Linked DNA regions of Saccharomyces cerevisiae S288C. The protein of the gene in region 2 purifies or fractionates together with the protein of the main gene of each other region. This does not show direct contact. Each region holds a gene or a part of one and is shown on either strand. Other genes may lie near its edges. The genes, in order: SAM2, PSA1, GRX3 and SDS24.

What was found.
Region 1: the proteins of PSA1 (region 2) and SAM2 purify together in Saccharomyces cerevisiae (affinity purification with mass spectrometry, with the first as the bait; one large-scale study listed by BioGRID). This does not show direct contact.
Region 3: the proteins of PSA1 (region 2) and GRX3 purify together in Saccharomyces cerevisiae (affinity purification with mass spectrometry, with the first as the bait; one large-scale study listed by BioGRID). This does not show direct contact.
Region 4: the proteins of PSA1 (region 2) and SDS24 purify together in Saccharomyces cerevisiae (affinity purification with mass spectrometry, with the first as the bait; one large-scale study listed by BioGRID). This does not show direct contact.

The regions. Positions count from the first base shown.
Region 1 is NC_001136.10:1,451,949-1,456,664, reverse strand, and holds SAM2 (methionine adenosyltransferase SAM2), read left to right. Parts: upstream 1-2,200; coding exon 2,201-3,355; downstream 3,356-4,716. Other genes in the region: SPG3 (Spg3p), read left to right, coding at 1-354; phosphatidate phosphatase LPP1, read left to right, coding at 799-1,623; PLM2 (Plm2p), read right to left, coding at 3,747-4,716. UniProt on the Saccharomyces cerevisiae protein: Catalyzes the formation of S-adenosylmethionine from methionine and ATP. The reaction comprises two steps that are both catalyzed by the same enzyme: formation of S-adenosylmethionine (AdoMet) and triphosphate, and subsequent hydrolysis of the triphosphate.
Region 2 is NC_001136.10:354,444-358,954, reverse strand, and holds PSA1 (mannose-1-phosphate guanylyltransferase), read left to right. Parts: upstream 1-2,195; coding exon 2,196-3,281; downstream 3,282-4,511. Other genes in the region: transcription factor MBP1, read right to left, coding at 3,577-4,511. UniProt on the Saccharomyces cerevisiae protein: Involved in cell wall synthesis where it is required for glycosylation. Involved in cell cycle progression through cell-size checkpoint.
Region 3 is NC_001136.10:643,678-648,143, reverse strand, and holds GRX3 (monothiol glutaredoxin GRX3), read left to right. Parts: upstream 1-3,213; coding exon 3,214-3,966; downstream 3,967-4,466. Other genes in the region: mismatch repair ATPase MSH6, read left to right, coding at 4,307-4,466.
Region 4 is NC_001134.8:648,462-653,498, reverse strand, and holds SDS24 (Sds24p), read right to left. Parts: upstream 2,085-5,037; coding exon 501-2,084; downstream 1-500. Other genes in the region: HPC2 (Hpc2p), read right to left, coding at 1-46, 131-143; bifunctional precorrin-2 dehydrogenase/sirohydrochlorin ferrochelatase MET8, read right to left, coding at 2,307-3,131; NGR1 (Ngr1p), read right to left, coding at 3,595-5,037. UniProt on the Saccharomyces cerevisiae protein: Involved in DNA replication and cell separation during budding.

The DNA.
Region 1 (4,716 bases), 1.1 Mb from region 2:
AATTTTCTAAAAGAAAAGACAACCATTTGCCATTATTTTGTTAACATTTTTTCATTGTTTTTGTTTTTGTTTGTTTTTGTTTTTGTTTTTATTTTTGTCTACTTTTTTTATGTTATTTTGTTTTATCGTTTCTGTTCGTTGTTTACCTATTTTCCTGCCAATTCAATTTGGTACTATCTTTCTATTATCAATATTTTCTTTCCCTTATGTTTTTTTCTATATGAAAACTTCACAGGGAGAAATAGAAGAAAATGTTCATTATTCTGTTTAACTTTGATAAAAATTACTTATACGTCTCCCAATCATGGTTTCATGGTCACTGGTAAGGAAAAATTCGAAAAACTACGGGACTAAAAATTTTTTAAAGATTGTCCATATTCCTCGATCCACACTTTCAAGTTTGAGATTTATTGTTGGCAACTTTCTTACATTTTTGTTGTTTCAACTTCTATTTTATATTCTAACAGCCGCTTCCATTTATTTTTCATAGGCTTTATATAAAAAACAAAAAATAATGGAATCAACCAACCCTTATAAACTTATATGTAGTTTACATTTAATCAAGGTCTGTTATCGTGGCTATTGCTCTAATTCATTATTTGTCGACATGTATTGGTTGATAATTTTTGTTTTGGTTCACGCGTAAGAATTTTTTTTCTTGTAGTTGCCACGTGAAACCTGACAACTTATAGTCTTTAAGGGAAGAAAGAAAGCCATTCTTTGAAGTGATTTTACTGCTTTCAAGAGTGAGAAACTCCTACATCAACGCCTAAGGAAACTCGTCATATTCTACCAAGGATGATCTCTGTCATGGCGGATGAGAAACATAAGGAGTATTTTAAGCTATACTACTTTCAGTACATGATAATTGGTCTATGTACGATATTATTCCTCTATTCGGAGATATCCCTGGTACCTAGGGGCCAAAACATCGAATTTAGTCTTGATGACCCCAGTATATCAAAACGTTATGTACCTAACGAACTCGTGGGCCCACTAGAATGTTTGATTTTGAGTGTTGGACTGAGTAACATGGTCGTCTTCTGGACCTGCATGTTTGACAAGGACTTACTGAAGAAGAATAGAGTAAAGAGACTAAGAGAGAGGCCGGACGGAATCTCGAACGATTTTCACTTCATGCATACTAGCATTCTATGTCTGATGCTGATTATAAGCATAAATGCTGCCCTAACAGGCGCCTTAAAGTTGATTATAGGAAACTTGAGGCCTGACTTTGTTGATAGATGTATACCTGACCTCCAAAAGATGAGTGATTCAGATTCTTTGGTTTTTGGCTTGGACATTTGCAAGCAGACTAACAAATGGATTCTATACGAAGGCTTAAAAAGCACTCCAAGCGGACATTCAAGTTTCATAGTCAGTACCATGGGCTTTACATATCTTTGGCAAAGGGTTTTCACCACACGCAATACAAGAAGTTGCATTTGGTGCCCTTTATTAGCTCTAGTAGTAATGGTTTCAAGGGTTATCGATCACAGACATCATTGGTACGATGTTGTCTCTGGAGCTGTTCTAGCATTTTTAGTCATTTATTGTTGCTGGAAATGGACATTTACAAACTTGGCGAAAAGAGACATACTTCCTTCACCGGTTAGTGTTTAGTAACACTTACAGAGTCCTATCAGGAAAGAATAAAAGCCGATCAAGCTTCATTCTCAGGTAACAACTGGAGCACTGGCGAGCTTTGCTCTATTATATAAGATAAAATATGCACTAAAAGTTTGCATTTCTTTACATAACTAAAACTAAGACATTATGCATAGCTTACCTGATCAAAAAGTATGTAAACTTGTTAACATCTTCACATGTGATTCATCTGGTCGTACTTTCTTGCGGTGCAGTGTAATATTTCTACCCACGTGACTATAATTGAGCTTGAAAACTGTGGCGTTTTTCCACCGATGGGTCCACGCCAGATATTAACCGAAGCCAAAATACCGATGAAATTTCTGAGATAGCTCTTGTAAACGACGTCAAATCTTCATATGCAAGGAGATCTTGATTTCTTTTTGGTAGTCATCTGTCGTCTTGAGGCGTATAAGAAGGAGGTTATATCTGTCCTTTCTACAAAGTATTTTCGAGAATCTTGCTTCTGCCCCTTTTTTCTTTTTTTAAAAGGTTTAAAAAACATAACTGTCTTCAATATATCCAGTATTTACGACAATATACAAACATAATCATGTCCAAGAGCAAAACTTTCTTATTTACCTCTGAATCCGTCGGTGAAGGTCACCCAGACAAGATTTGTGACCAAGTTTCTGATGCTATTTTGGACGCTTGTTTAGAACAAGATCCATTCTCCAAGGTTGCCTGTGAAACAGCTGCCAAAACTGGTATGATTATGGTTTTCGGTGAAATTACCACCAAAGCTAGACTTGACTACCAACAAATAGTAAGAGATACCATCAAGAAGATTGGTTATGACGATTCTGCCAAGGGTTTCGACTACAAGACATGTAATGTTTTAGTAGCTATCGAACAACAATCTCCAGATATCGCTCAAGGTCTGCACTATGAAAAGAGCTTAGAAGACTTAGGTGCTGGTGACCAAGGTATAATGTTTGGTTACGCTACAGACGAAACTCCAGAAGGGTTACCATTGACCATTCTTTTGGCTCACAAATTGAACATGGCTATGGCAGATGCTAGAAGAGATGGTTCTCTCCCATGGTTGAGACCAGACACAAAGACTCAAGTCACTGTCGAATACGAAGACGACAATGGTAGATGGGTTCCAAAGAGGATAGATACCGTTGTTATTTCTGCTCAACATGCTGATGAAATTTCCACCGCTGACTTGAGAACTCAACTTCAAAAAGATATTGTTGAAAAGGTCATACCAAAGGATATGTTAGACGAAAATACCAAATATTTCATCCAACCATCCGGTAGATTCGTCATCGGTGGTCCTCAAGGTGACGCTGGTTTGACCGGTAGAAAGATTATTGTCGACGCTTACGGTGGTGCCTCATCCGTCGGTGGTGGTGCCTTCTCCGGTAAGGACTATTCCAAGGTCGATCGTTCCGCTGCTTACGCTGCTAGATGGGTTGCCAAGTCTCTAGTTGCCGCTGGTTTGTGTAAGAGAGTCCAAGTCCAATTTTCATATGCTATTGGTATTGCTGAACCATTGTCTTTACATGTGGACACCTATGGTACAGCTACAAAATCAGATGACGAAATCATTGAAATTATTAAGAAGAACTTCGACTTGAGACCAGGTGTGTTAGTAAAGGAATTAGATTTGGCTAGACCAATTTACTTACCAACCGCTTCTTATGGTCACTTCACTAATCAAGAGTACTCATGGGAAAAACCAAAGAAATTGGAATTTTAAACATTTAGACAATAAATGTTTTATTTTGATTTTTATAATTATTTCAATCCCTTTCTTTATGCTAGGCTGGTCCCGATCACCTCCCTATATTGAGAAGACGATGCCTTATCGTTTGATTCGCTCAACTCGAGTCATGTAATTACTAGAAAATGATACAATAGAAAAGTTTTAAACATTCTTAAACTTGACAAACACCAATAGAATAACATCTAGGCATAATGATCTATTTTGTATGGATTATGTATTAGCTCCTTCAACGGAAATATATAGAAAATATTACTTTATGTTTTTAGAACTTTTTGACGAGTTTTACCAGTTTTTTTCATGATGCTCCACGTGGTAATATGACTATGCTATGGAAATAAGGTTGAAATATAGAATGTCTTTGAGGTTATTTGGTCGGCCTCTTCCAGAAATACTGTTTATGTTTCTTCCTGCACGACCTTAATCGGCTCCTGCCTTTTAACGAATTATACAAAATCTTTCTCTCGTCGCTATCATCGTTTTCAACATCATAGTAATACTCGTCTTCTAATGGCTTGCCAGACGCATCTTTTCCTTCACGCACAATAATACCAATGCAAGAAATAGTCTCCAAGACCTTTTTTAGTTCATCTTTGCTTAATTGTGAAGTGTTGGAATTGATGTTTTGCAATTGGGATAAAGGCGTTTGTTGAAGGTTAGAAAATGCAAGATGATTACATAGCACATGAACTAGGTCATCAAACCGAATTCCTCTTTCTGAGAGCGACCGAGAAATTTCGGGAATAATATTCAATGAAGTCTTAAGACGTTTTTGTGCAGGAGATACAATCGCGGTTGTAGAAGACAGCTCTTTAGTTTTTTTTGCAACTGCTGCGAAAGATTCTTCTTCATTAATGCCACCACTCCTAGTACTGGCACTTAATGTCCCAATTATTTTATCTTTAGGAAGTGGTGTCTCTTGTATAGTGTTATTTTTCAATGAAATTGATTTACGCTTCAGTTTCTTTGGAGTTGATGGCTGATTAATAACGAAAGATGTTTGGGGTGTTGTTCTATAACTAATGGGGGAGTTTTTCACAAGAGCAGGAGATGCAATAAGTAATGGTTTTGAGATCTGTTCTGTACGAGGTGAATGCTCAACTGGGACAAATTTCATCGAAGGTGTTTCTTTTTGCCAAGAAAAATCATCGCTCGTTGTTGTTAATAAACACAACTCATCCTCCGTTTCTGTCGAGTTCTCTTCGTCAAAGTTATTGTTGCCATCGCCAGGATAAGGTGCTACTTTTTTCAATGAAAGACAGACTGTGACGCCTGTAAAATTTATGAAACTTCCTTGGATATAGGGGAAAGTAACAGTTTCACCTTTAGCCAAAACA
Region 2 (4,511 bases):
ATCTGAACACGTAATACTACTATATGACTTGGAACAAATGGCTAATCAATAATCACATATGTTCGACCGCTGCAGGAAAAGAGAAAAGAAAGCAGTTTCTACAAGCAAGAACTTGGAAATACAGACAAACCTCCAGTACTTTATTAGGATTGTCCATTCCTCACCCAGATATGTTAAATTCGATACCAATGTGTTTTGATTCACGCGCAGAAAGAAGGACTTTCCCTGCTCTGCTCGGCAAAAACATACACGTTGTCGACCGAGCACGACTGCCGTTGTCGAAGCCACCACTGTCACTTCTCGTTTAATATCTTTAATCGCATCATCTATAGTTCCTAATTCTGCATTCCTAACACTGTAGCCTATCCAGCAAAATCATTCCCATTTTCTCTTTATATGTGCCTAGATTTTAAAATTTTGCTTAAGATGATTTACATTGAGGGGGGAAACTTGCTTTATCCGCTCCTCCAATTGATTCAAGAAGTATGGGCGCTGACCTACCATCTCAATTTCTTGTTTCACTCGAGAATTGTCACTGAGATAGTAAATGTCTAGAGAATCCTTTGCAACAGGAGATTTCAAATTTATATTCTTTGTGTTCGCATTCGCTTCCCGTCTGTTACTCGTTCCCTTACCATTCTATTATGCATTGCAGATCTGCCAAGTAAAAAAAAAAATACCTTGGTGTACACACCACCCATACATTATCTGACAAGGAAACAAAAGTAATGACAGTAAATTGAAGAACTTGTGATGAGCCAAAAAGAAGAATGTGTGCACTTCTTTTCGTATTTTTATGGTAAAGCCAGTTGGTGGCTTTCTTTGACGATATGAAACCCAGGATCCCATGCTGCCTATGTTGCATTTATGTAATTGTCTGTATGAAGCTCGCATTTTAGAGTTACTACTATGTGCTTTCTATGCAGTTGCTTGCCGCAGCCAAGACGTAGAGATTTCTTAGACGTGCTTTTTATTTCTTATGAAAGTAAAGAGTGTGTATACAACGAACTATGTTAATAATTAGTAGTACCAGAACATTGACTTTCGTAAGGACCAAACGGCATCCCTATCTCGGAAGAACACCACATGATGCAAGTTCTCCTGCCTACGAATAGTTCGTCAGGTGCCAGCACTGAGACCACCCAAACTAAAGGCAATCGAAAACTATACCACGTTTATCGTTATGTTTCGGCGGCTCACCTTGTATCAACCTGCTTGGCAAGCTGCTCTGCGAGGCTCCATTTTTTTACATTTTCAAGAGGAGTACATTTCACCTTAAAAAACGGCACGGAGAAAGCCTAAACTTGGTTGCATATACGCAATTACAAATCTTTTATAACTACTTCTGATTCTGTGCACGACGTGCCACCCGGTACAGTTCAAAGGTCACTATACGCACTGTCGATCGAGCCAACCCAACCCACAGAACATCCTAAAGCTTCAAATCGAAACGCGTACAGTCAGCATTCTTCATGCTGCACCCGATCCTTCTTACCGCGTGCTGGGTGAAAAGCAAGACTAAGAGCAAGACCCTTGGATAACGGCACCAAATGGACTACTTTCGTCCTTTCCTGCAACTCTGACTATAGCTTTTTCTATCATTGCCTAAACCAAACCGTCCACGCCACCTCACCAGCAACGCACAGCATGAAGAACGCGAAAACAGAAAAAAAAAACGCCAAAAGAAACGGCCACCGTGTACTTGCTGGCCAGCTAGAAATGCCTCGGGAGCCACCACGTTTATTTTTATCTCAATCTCTGAAAAACTTTTTTTTCTTTGTTTTTGTCGTTTTTCAGCATGAACAGCGCAGCAATAAACAAACAAACAAACAAACAGACGAACAGACACAGAACCACAGCTGACCGGTAGTAAAGTAAGCTGGTGGTTTCTCGCTTTGTTTTCTTTTTTTCCTTGCCTCGTGGCGCTCTTGTAAACATATATATAGTAGACTTTTCACGTCATTGTTAGAAGTTTCACATAGTCTTGTTTTCTTTTCTCCAAAACTGTATTTTTTTTTTCTTTGTCTATCTTGTTCTCACCTCTTTGACTTTGATAACGTTCATCAAGTGTGCAAACTACTTTACATTCGCTAACTCTTTTCTTCTGTCCAAATATTTTGTTGACTATACAAACAAAATATTATCAGCACAAGACAAGCTACAACTTCAACAAATAAAACATATATAATTGAAAAATGAAAGGTTTAATTTTAGTCGGTGGTTACGGTACCAGATTGAGACCTTTAACTTTGACCGTTCCAAAGCCACTGGTTGAATTCGGTAATAGACCAATGATTTTACACCAAATCGAGGCTTTAGCCAACGCTGGTGTTACTGACATCGTTCTTGCTGTTAATTACAGACCAGAAGTCATGGTGGAAACTTTGAAGAAGTACGAAAAGGAATATGGTGTTAACATCACTTTCTCTGTAGAAACTGAACCATTAGGTACTGCAGGTCCATTGAAATTGGCTGAAGATGTTTTGAAGAAGGACAACTCTCCATTTTTCGTCCTAAACTCCGACGTCATTTGCGAATATCCATTCAAGGAATTGGCTGACTTCCACAAAGCTCACGGTGGTAAAGGTACCATTGTTGCTACCAAGGTCGACGAACCTTCTAAATACGGTGTCATTGTCCATGATATAGCTACTCCAAACTTGATTGACAGATTTGTTGAAAAGCCAAAGGAATTTGTTGGTAACAGAATTAACGCCGGTTTGTACATTTTAAACCCAGAAGTCATTGACTTGATTGAAATGAAGCCAACTTCAATTGAAAAGGAAACTTTCCCAATCTTGGTCGAAGAAAAACAACTATATTCCTTCGATTTGGAAGGTTTCTGGATGGATGTTGGTCAACCAAAGGACTTCTTGTCTGGTACCGTTCTTTACTTGAACTCTTTGGCCAAGAGACAACCAAAAAAATTGGCTACAGGTGCCAACATTGTTGGTAATGCCTTGATCGACCCAACCGCTAAGATTTCCTCCACTGCTAAGATTGGCCCAGACGTGGTTATCGGTCCTAATGTCACCATCGGTGATGGTGTTAGAATCACCAGATCTGTTGTTTTGTGCAACTCCACCATCAAGAACCACTCCTTGGTCAAATCTACCATCGTAGGCTGGAACTCTACCGTTGGTCAATGGTGTCGTTTGGAAGGTGTCACTGTCTTGGGTGACGACGTTGAAGTTAAGGACGAAATCTACATCAACGGTGGTAAAGTCTTACCTCATAAGTCTATCTCCGATAATGTTCCAAAGGAAGCTATTATTATGTGAGTTAGGAAAACGAACTGTAATGAATATAATCTATATCACTCATCTGTTTTTGTTAATTTTATTTTAGCCAATATCATTATAAAAAGAGGAAAACATGCACAGAAAAAGCACTGCTTACTGTTATGTCTTAGTTTGTAATTGAAAATGAAAAATAAAAAAAAAAAAGAAAATAAAGAAAAAAAGGTTGATCCTTATGTAACTTTTTATTTACGTAGAAGTTAATAAATATTATCTCATTGTTTTATCTATTTTTCAGTATATGGATACATGTAAAGTTCCTCTATTTATGTATATTTTATGCATGACTATTCGCGTTTGAGATTGTGATGATCTGTTCTGCGCCCTTATTTTTATTATTGTTGGCTATCAATGTCTGTAGTATTACATCCAGCGAACTATCTACTTCTTCAATATTCATTTCCGTACCTTCCCTGATAATCCGTCTATATTTATGAATCTTGGCATTGTCTTCAAATTTCTTCACCAAGGAACTCAATTTGTTTTTCCTTTGTAATTGCAACATCGTTAGTTCTTGAGCCAATTCCAACCTTTCCAGCGTATTATTATCTTTCTCAACTGTGTTATTGGTGGTAGCCTGAGTTTCATCTTCTATTAATTTGTTCAATAAAACCGTTTGCCTGTATTCCAGCTTTTGTTTTATCAACCGTTTGTATCGTATGAGCCTTTTTCTCAATTTCTTAGTATTTTGTTCTTGTAGACGAGATAAAATTTCGAAGTCATCATTAGTCTGAGCTTCGCCGTTTTCATCTTTACTGCTCTCTTTCAATACCTCTAAAGTTTTTAGGCTTACCTGTATTTTCGTCTTAGAAATGCTTTTTAAAGTTTTTTGCAAACTTTTTATTTCGTTGTCATGCTGTTCATGAAGATCGTTGTATATGCTAGCCATTTGCTTCATAGAATTCACTACATTTGGAATATTTCTTGATATATTGGTGGCAATTTGAGATGGATAGGTTATGTAATCCGAAGGAGAAACAGGCGACATGATTACCATTGAATTAACATCATTTTTCGTTTCAATGTTGTTTGTATTAACGTGGATATTCAAGTCCGTGTTTGAAGAATTGACATGTTGATTTGTACCATTTTGTATCATCATTTGCTCATATTGTTGATTCATTATTTCATTGGCGGTTAATCCTTCCTTATTGGAAATAGTAGTTAATGCACCCATTTTGACCAGTGTATTAAAAAAAACAACATCTCCAT
Region 3 (4,466 bases), 290 kb from region 2:
TCTAATATTCTTCCATCAAAGAAGAGATCTAGCACCCCCCAAATTTCCAATATCGAGAGTACCGGTTCGGGTGGTATGCATAAATTAAATGTTCCTTTACTTGCTCCCATGTCCCAATCTAACACACATGAGTCGTCGCACGCCAGTAAATCTAAAGATTTCAGACACTCAGACTCGTACAGTGAAAATGAGACTAATCATACAAACGTACCAATATCCAGTACGGGTGGTACCAACAACAAAACTGTTCCGCAGATAAGTGACCAAGAGACTGAGAAAAGGATTATACACCGTTCACCTTCAATCGATGCTTCTCCACCGGAAAATAATTCATCGCACAATATTGTTCCTATCAAAACGCCAACTACTGTTTCTGAACAGAATACCGAGGAATCTATCATCGCTGATCTCCCACTCCCTGATCTACCTCCAGAATCTCCTACCGAATTCCCTGACCCATTTAAAGAACTCCCACCGATAAATTCTCATCAAACTAATTCCAGTTTGGGTGGTATTGGTGACTCTAATGCCTATACTACTATCAACAGTAAGAAAAGATCATTAGAAGATAATGAAACTGAAATTAAGGTATCACGAGACACATGGAATACTAAGAATATGCGTAGTTTAGAACCTCCGAGATCGAAGAAACGAATTCACCTGATTGCAGCTGTAAAAGCAGTAAAATCAATCAAACCAATACGGACAACCTTAAGATACGATGAGGCAATCACCTATAATAAAGATATTAAAGAAAAGGAAAAATATATCGAAGCATACCACAAAGAAGTCAACCAACTATTGAAAATGAATACTTGGGACACTGACAAATATTATGACAGAAAAGAAATAGACCCTAAAAGAGTAATAAATTCAATGTTTATCTTCAACAGGAAACGTGACGGTACTCATAAAGCTAGATTTGTTGCAAGAGGTGATATTCAGCATCCTGACACTTACGACTCAGGCATGCAATCCAATACCGTACATCACTATGCATTAATGACATCCCTGTCACTTGCATTAGACAATAACTACTATATTACACAATTAGACATATCTTCGGCATATTTGTATGCAGACATCAAAGAAGAATTATACATAAGACCTCCACCACATTTAGGAATGAATGATAAGTTGATACGTTTGAAGAAATCACTTTATGGATTGAAACAAAGTGGAGCGAACTGGTACGAAACTATCAAATCATACCTGATAAAACAGTGTGGTATGGAAGAAGTTCGTGGATGGTCATGCGTATTTAAGAATAGTCAAGTAACAATTTGCTTATTCGTTGATGATATGATATTGTTCAGCAAAGACTTAAATGCAAATAAGAAAATCATAACAACACTCAAGAAACAATACGATACAAAGATAATAAATCTGGGTGAAGGTGATAACGAAATTCAGTACGACATACTTGGATTAGAGATCAAATATCAAAGAAGCAAGTACATGAAATTAGGTATGGAAAAATCCTTGACAGAAAAATTACCCAAACTAAACGTACCTTTGAACCCAAAAGGAAAGAAACTTAGAGCTCCAGGTCAACCAGGTCATTATATAGACCAGGATGAACTAGAAATAGATGAAGATGAATACAAAGAGAAAGTGCATGAAATGCAAAAGTTGATTGGTCTAGCTTCATATGTTGGATATAAATTTAGATTTGACTTACTATACTACATCAACACACTTGCTCAACATATACTATTCCCCTCTAGGCAAGTTTTAGACATGACATATGAGTTAATACAATTCATGTGGGACACTAGAGATAAACAATTAATATGGCACAAAAACAAACCTACCAAGCCAGATAATAAACTAGTCGCAATAAGCGATGCTTCATATGGTAACCAACCATATTACAAGTCACAAATTGGTAACATTTTCCTACTCAACGGAAAAGTGATTGGAGGAAAGTCGACAAAGGCTTCGTTAACATGCACTTCAACTACAGAAGCAGAAATACACGCAGTCAGTGAAGCTATTCCGCTATTGAATAACCTCAGTCACCTTGTGCAAGAACTTAACAAGAAACCAATTATTAAAGGCTCACTTACTGATAGTAGATCAACGATCAGTATAATTAAGTCTACAAATGAAGAGAAATTTAGAAACAGATTTTTTGGCACAAAGGCAATGAGACTTAGAGATGAAGTATCAGGTAATAATTTATACGTATACTACATCGAGACCAAGAAGAACATTGCTGATGTGATGACAAAACCTCTTCCGATAAAAACATTTAAACTATTAACAAACAAATGGATTCATTAGATCTATTACATTATGGGTGGTATGTTGGAATAAAAATCAACTATCATCTACTAACTAGTATTTACGTTACTAGTATATTATCATATACGGTGTTAGAAGATGACGCAAATGATGAGAAATAGTCATCTAAATTAGTGGAAGCTGAAACGCAAGGATTGATAATGTAATAGGATCAATGAATATTAACATATAAAACGATGATAATAATATTTATAGAATTGTGTAGAATTGCAGATTCCCTTTTATGGATTCCTAAATCCTCGAGGAGAACTTCTAGTATATTCTGTATACCTAATATTATAGCCTTTATCAACAATGGAATCCCAACAATTATCTAATTACCCACATATATCTCAATAACAAAACGAACAACATGAGATAAAACACGGCCTTCCCTAGCTGAACTACCCAAACGTATAAATGCTTGAACAATTAGTTTAGATCCGAGATTCCGCGCTTCCACCACTTAGTATGATTCATATTTTATATAATATATAAGATAAGTGACATTCCGTGAATTAATCTGATAAACTGTTTTGACAACTGGTTACTTCCCTAAGACTGTTTATATTAGGATTGTCAAGACACTGCGGTATTACTCGAGCCCGTAATACAACAATACACAGTTGTTACGGTCCTATAGTGTAGTGGTTATCACTTTCGGTTTTGATCCGGACAACCCCGGTTCGAATCCGGGTAGGACCTTTTTTAACTGTGGCTTCTCTGTTGAACCATCAGTTACTTTTTTTTTTTTTCAGAGAATGTGTGCCGGGTCATGAGATGCCAAACTAAGAGGTCATTAAAATATATTTCAAAGACTAAATGTGTTCTTTTCAGGTTCCATCTGCATTTTCTTTTAACTACACCTCGTACTGTTATAAACGCCACCAAGCAAGATATTACACAGCAGCAAAACTTTTTCAGGAAATGCCTGTTATTGAAATTAACGATCAAGAGCAATTTACTTACCTAACTACCACTGCGGCCGGCGACAAGTTAATCGTGCTTTATTTCCATACCAGTTGGGCAGAACCATGCAAAGCATTAAAGCAGGTTTTTGAGGCCATTAGTAATGAGCCTTCCAATTCCAACGTCTCTTTCTTATCCATTGATGCGGACGAAAACTCGGAAATTTCAGAACTTTTTGAAATCTCAGCTGTTCCATATTTTATCATAATTCACAAAGGGACAATCTTAAAAGAATTATCCGGCGCGGATCCAAAGGAGTATGTGTCTTTATTAGAAGACTGCAAGAACTCAGTCAATTCCGGATCATCACAAACTCATACTATGGAAAATGCAAACGTAAATGAGGGGAGTCATAATGATGAAGACGATGACGACGAAGAAGAGGAAGAAGAAACTGAGGAGCAAATAAACGCTAGATTGACTAAATTGGTCAATGCCGCGCCGGTAATGTTATTTATGAAGGGGAGCCCCTCTGAACCTAAATGCGGGTTTTCGAGACAACTTGTGGGTATCTTGAGAGAACATCAAGTAAGATTTGGCTTCTTTGATATATTAAGAGACGAATCTGTTAGACAAAACTTGAAAAAGTTTTCTGAATGGCCAACTTTCCCTCAACTTTATATAAATGGGGAGTTTCAAGGCGGTTTAGACATTATCAAGGAATCCTTGGAGGAAGACCCTGATTTTTTGCAGCATGCTCTCCAATCTTAAATAAATAGATGTATTTAGTGTAAATTGAAACAGAAAAGTCTCCATTTCCAACTAATGGTATGCAAGCATTTTTATATGTGTGACATAATGAATGGCTTCTGGTTAAGTTTGGCTTTTTGAACAACCATTGCCCGGAGAAAATAAACGCGTGAGCAGTAGCTGATACGCGTCTCACTTTTTCATAAATTCATGTATAGGTCATCGCCATATAGAGAAAATATTTGAAATTACATCTGTTGAAACTAATAAGAGCTTTTCCTTGGAGCCTTCTTTGCTAACAGATAAGATTTTTTAATTGGAGCAACTAGTTAATTTTGACAAAGCCAATTTGAACTCCAAAATGGCCCCAGCTACCCCTAAAACTTCTAAGACTGCACACTTCGAAAATGGCTCCACATCTTCTCAAAAGAAAATGAAGCAATCGAGTTTGTTATCTTTTTTCTCAAAACAGGTACCTTCTGGCACACCGTCAAAGAAGGTCCAGAAGCCTACTCCAGCGA
Region 4 (5,037 bases), on a different chromosome or scaffold from region 2:
GATTTTGTCTGTTTACTACCACTTTTAGAGTTATCAAGGACAATTGCTATCATAAATAGAATTGTTAATCAAAATGATCTAAAACACCCCTAACGAAGGGCGGATAATTGAAAATAAAGCCAGAACATACCTTTTTGGTCCATTTCCAATCGTTTGAATATGGTCGTGGAGGTTAATGCTGTTCGTTTAAATCGTTTCAGAATGCAAAATTAACCGCATCAGTTTCTGCATTGTGTGTACATTCGCCTGACATATTTTGCTTTAATTTTCCACGACAAGAAAAAAAGATATACATATACGCGACAATAGCAAAAGTCAGAGTTTAATAAGTTGAATATACAAAATAGAATATATAAATGTTTTCAGAACAAGTATATACGCTTAAATGTCTACAAAATACTTAAAACCATATAAATGAACAATATTTTCTTTTAGTCATTGTAAAAGATTTTTTTTTTTGAGGGAGAGGGAAACAGCGGGAAAAGACAACGCTGCAAGCCTCACATGGCGATACTGCCTCTCTGTCTTCTTGCGGATTGCGGATCCACTTCTTTATTCCCTGTTTGTTTCCTTGCTAATAAGTTGATGATGTCTGTCAATGAGACCACACCGATCAACTTACCCGTTCTATATTCCTTTTCGAATAGGTTTGGTGTGTTTGTTGAGGAAGCGGGACTTGGTGGTGGGATCGCGATGGCCGAAGAACGTGGGGATGGTGGGTCTTCCATTGCTGTCATCAACGGAGAGTGGGAGTTGAGGGATGTTGAAGAGGATGACTTTGACATTGGAGTCGCACCATTAGCAGACGATTGAGCGGTGGCAGAAACTGCATTGGCTGCAGTATTAGCAGCTGTTAAATTTGTGGATGACGCCGAGGTTGACGACTCCGGCGGTTGTACGATCCATAGTCTATGAGACTTTGTAGCAACTAACTTGGCAAGAGTCCTTGCTAGTGAACTACTGGGGTATACGTGAAAAATGGGGAAAGAATCTTTACCCGTTTCTAATCCTCTGGAGTTTAAAATGACAGAAATGAAATGGCGACATGTCTTATGTAGTAAGGGGTATTGGGAGGTTCTTGTGACATGTTTTACGTCCGTTACCGATATGTTACCTAGCAAATTACCTTGTTTGTCGATGACTGCAATGGAAGAAATTCTTTCCACATGCATTTTATAAAGGCCCATGATTAAGGGCTCCTCGCCTTGAATAGAGATGACACGGGATTGTCTTGAAGTTGGCTTAGATTGAATATTGAGAACACCGATGTGCAAATCTTGTAATGAGGAGTTTAATAGAGGTTCTAAGCTTGTAAAAGATCTAGCGTTGTCCCAAAGATACTTTATCAAACGACGTTGGGACAAAATACCTTTAACTTTGGTCATCTCTTCGTTTGTTATCGCTACACGATGGACACCCGAACCGAGAATCCCCATCACCGTGGACAAACTCTCATTCTCCGGCAGCTTATAGAACGGATTCTTAGGAGTTAGTTTCACCATTTCGCCCACTGGTACGGGTTTTCCATTCTGGCAATCTGCAGTAAGCTGTTTGTTGCTGACGGTGATTTTATTCAAAACCAGCAAAAGGTACGAATTAAGGTCATTGTAGTCGAAAGTAAAACAGTTCATGTCGCCGGGGAAAGATTCCACGGGAATAGAGTTTAGATGATACTTGATCAAAGTGTTGAATGCCTCCTCTACCGATATGGAACCTGGAACAAAAATAAGCTTATTCTGTTCGATCAATTGCGACAACGGTATGTGTTGCCATTTTTGGGCGTGCACACATGACAGACACTGCGATGGCGTCTGGGTCATAGGAACAGCTGATAGTTTGAATTGAGGCTTTTCATCGCGCAAGGGGGCGGGTGTAGCAGCACAACCTGGACCAGGCGCTGCCGCTGTTGCTGTTGGCGGCGTGGACTCTTCTGGTTGTTCCTTGTCGTCTGTATCGTTCACTTGAACGTGGGGCAGCAATGGCGGAGTAGACAGCATCTCCACAATGGATGCATGTCTAGAAGTTGGAAGGTTGTTGGAAGAATTGCTTTGGCTTGGAGGGAACGTGTTCGAAGTAGAAGCCATGTTGTGTGAAGGAAGAAACGGTAATTGTTCTATAAGTGTTTATAGTTATTATAGTTGGGTTGTGTGCCTGATCTTGCCTGATAAGATAGAAGAAAAGTTGATCTGAACAGGCATTGTTGTTCGTTCTCCAACCCCTATATATGCGAAATATATACAAAATCCCAGTAGATTTTCTCTACACAATAGAAAGGACGCGCCCCTTAAAAGAGGAGGCCCTGTCGCTCAAGACGAGCAGTACTCGCTAAGCAACCGTTCTCTGGGAGGGAACTGCAAGGAACAGTTCTGTTCTTGAAACATGACCTTGAAAAGATCCAGCAGACGTTTTACGTCGATGTTGTGGCAGTGCTGAATGCCGAAGAGGTCTGTGCAGCGTCTGGCCCAATCCATGCGGTACTTGACATCCTTGTCGTCTGGTGCCAGCAGCCTAATTCCTCTTCTCAGCTCACCTAGTTTGACGACAGCGTCCTCCAGCGCCAGATCCCCCATTTGTGTGAATAAGTTACGGATCTCATCTCTTACTAGAGCGCCAAAGCGCGGAGAAAGGCCGTTGGTAGAGATCAGAATCTGTAGACGGTCTCCTATCTCCAGGTTGGCGCCGAAATAAAAGTCACAGAGATCAGGTTTGTCCGCCACATTGACCAGCTGCTGCTTACCGAATCTTTCCTTACAAAGGTGATATATTCTTGCGCTTTCAGGGTGGTCGGGTATACAGGTCATTATTATGTACCACGCGTCGTTCTCGTCTTCTAGGTCGAGGTATTCGTCTTTGAAGTCACTGCGGATGTACTCGTAAATTTCATTCTTCGTGGGGTCCCAGTTCGGATTGATAAAGCGTTTAGCGTCTTCTCTGTAGTCGGGCTGATCCTCGTTCTGGATGAATTTTCCAAACTTCGGAATAATGGATTTGTGTAGGTCAGGAGATACTAAAGTCAGCTTGCAACCTGTAGGTATCAGCTTATATAACCTTGTCAAGCCGACTTCTCCGCCTCCGATTAGTAGTATTTTCTTGTCTTTTAATTGATGGGCTAGCTGTAGCGATTTGACCATTTTTTATCCTATTATACACTCTCTTATTTTGCACACTTCATGAACAATGTATGGCAAAAATGTCTGGCACAGCCTTTTATTGAAGTAAATGTATATATATATATATGTGTGTGTGTGTGTCCATCATTTACATGCTACTGCCCGTAGTCATCGGACTTTGTAGCGATTTTCACATTTTTTTTCCGTCAGCATGGCTATTATAACACGTGAAATTATGACGCCAGCTTTTCGCATATATAGTTAATATAAAACACTTTGAAACGGAACTGTTTGAGTAAATAAATGTACTTAGATAGATAAAAATAGATAGGTAGTATAGAGGAAAAACAAATTTGATTAGAATTATGGATCGACAATTGACTAGGTTGTAACTGAAATGGCATTAATAGAAGAAACGTAAGAACGTAGAGACGCAGATAAAACTGCGGACAAGATTAAAATTTTCTTTTTTTGTCTTTTGTAATCAATGTAGAAGAGAAGGATGAATTGGCGGAACATTGTTCCTATTAGGATGCTTGTTCATGATGCTCGATTTCGAATTATTGGAATTCGGGGCTATATTTAAGGGAGGAGTCATCATCCTGGACACGTCATACATATTTGCACCGTTTCCCATTCCGTATGGTACTGGATTTACGTTCATGTTCATGTTCATGTTAGAATTCATGATCATGTTTGTGTTAGGGTTTGTGTTCATGCTTGAGGCCGTTTTATTGCTGTTGCCATTGGGCAGTTGCATAGAAATTGACATCGCGTTCCCAAATTGAGGTAAGTTATTAGTAGCATTGGAGAATTGGTTGCCCGTCGGATGGAGCGAGTATGAGGGACTTGAATATTGGTGTGGGTACAGTGCACCGTCTTCTTGCATATACGGGACATTAGATCTCTGCAGATTAACGAGGTCGCTATGGCTGCCATTCTTGTTCCTGTGATAATCGTAATTATTGTAGTTGTAATAGTTGTTGTGCGCCATTTGCTCCATAGAAAAGTTACCATCCTGTTGCTGCTGCTGCTGCTGCTGCTGCTGCTGATGTAAAAAGAGTCGCCTTTTATCTTCCGCATATTGTTCAAGAATTTGTTTGGAGTTATCGACTGAAGAAGCCGCAGATGGCGCTCTCAGGCCATTTGAGGACATATATTGGCTTGCCCCCATGATGGTCGAATTTGTTTTAGCATTTGAACTGGATGGGCGTCCCCATGATAATCTTATTGGACTGCCGCCCACAATAAAGCCTTGCAGGCCTTGTATTGAAGCTTCAGCATCAATCCTCTTCTCGAATTTAACAAACCCACAGTTTTTACCATTGGGAATCCTGACATTTAGAATGGGTCCAAAGGGTTTGAATAGTGAACGTAATTGAAATTCGGTAGTTTTTGGTACCAGTCCTCCCACAAAAACAGTAGTATTAGTGGGGTCTGTATTATAGGTGTTTGAAGGTAGTGAATCATTTACACGCATGTTTGAAATGCCGCCCTCATTCAAATGCATTGGAGGCGCGTTATGCAAGGCATTGAGAGGAAGCATGTTGCTATTGTTTTGAATGAGATTATTTGCAGTCTTAATCAAGAGAGGGCCATTATTATCCTCCTGATCTAGCTGCTGATGCTGTTGCTGCAATTGTTGTTGCTGTTGTTGTTGTTCCTGTAACTGCAGCATCATATTATTTCTTGGCGTGGCATAAGCGACTCTTAAGGCCCTTCCTTGAAACCATTTCCCACTCATCTCAATCAGTGCCCTGCGGCGCTCATCTTCATCACCGAATCTGACAAATCCAAAACAACGAGATGATCCTGTTAAAGGGTCAGTCATCACGCGGACGGTTTTAACAGATTTGAACCTCGTTTGGAAAAGAGATAACAAATCAGCTTCAGTGGCGGTGGGAGAAAGATCACCAACAAACAAGGA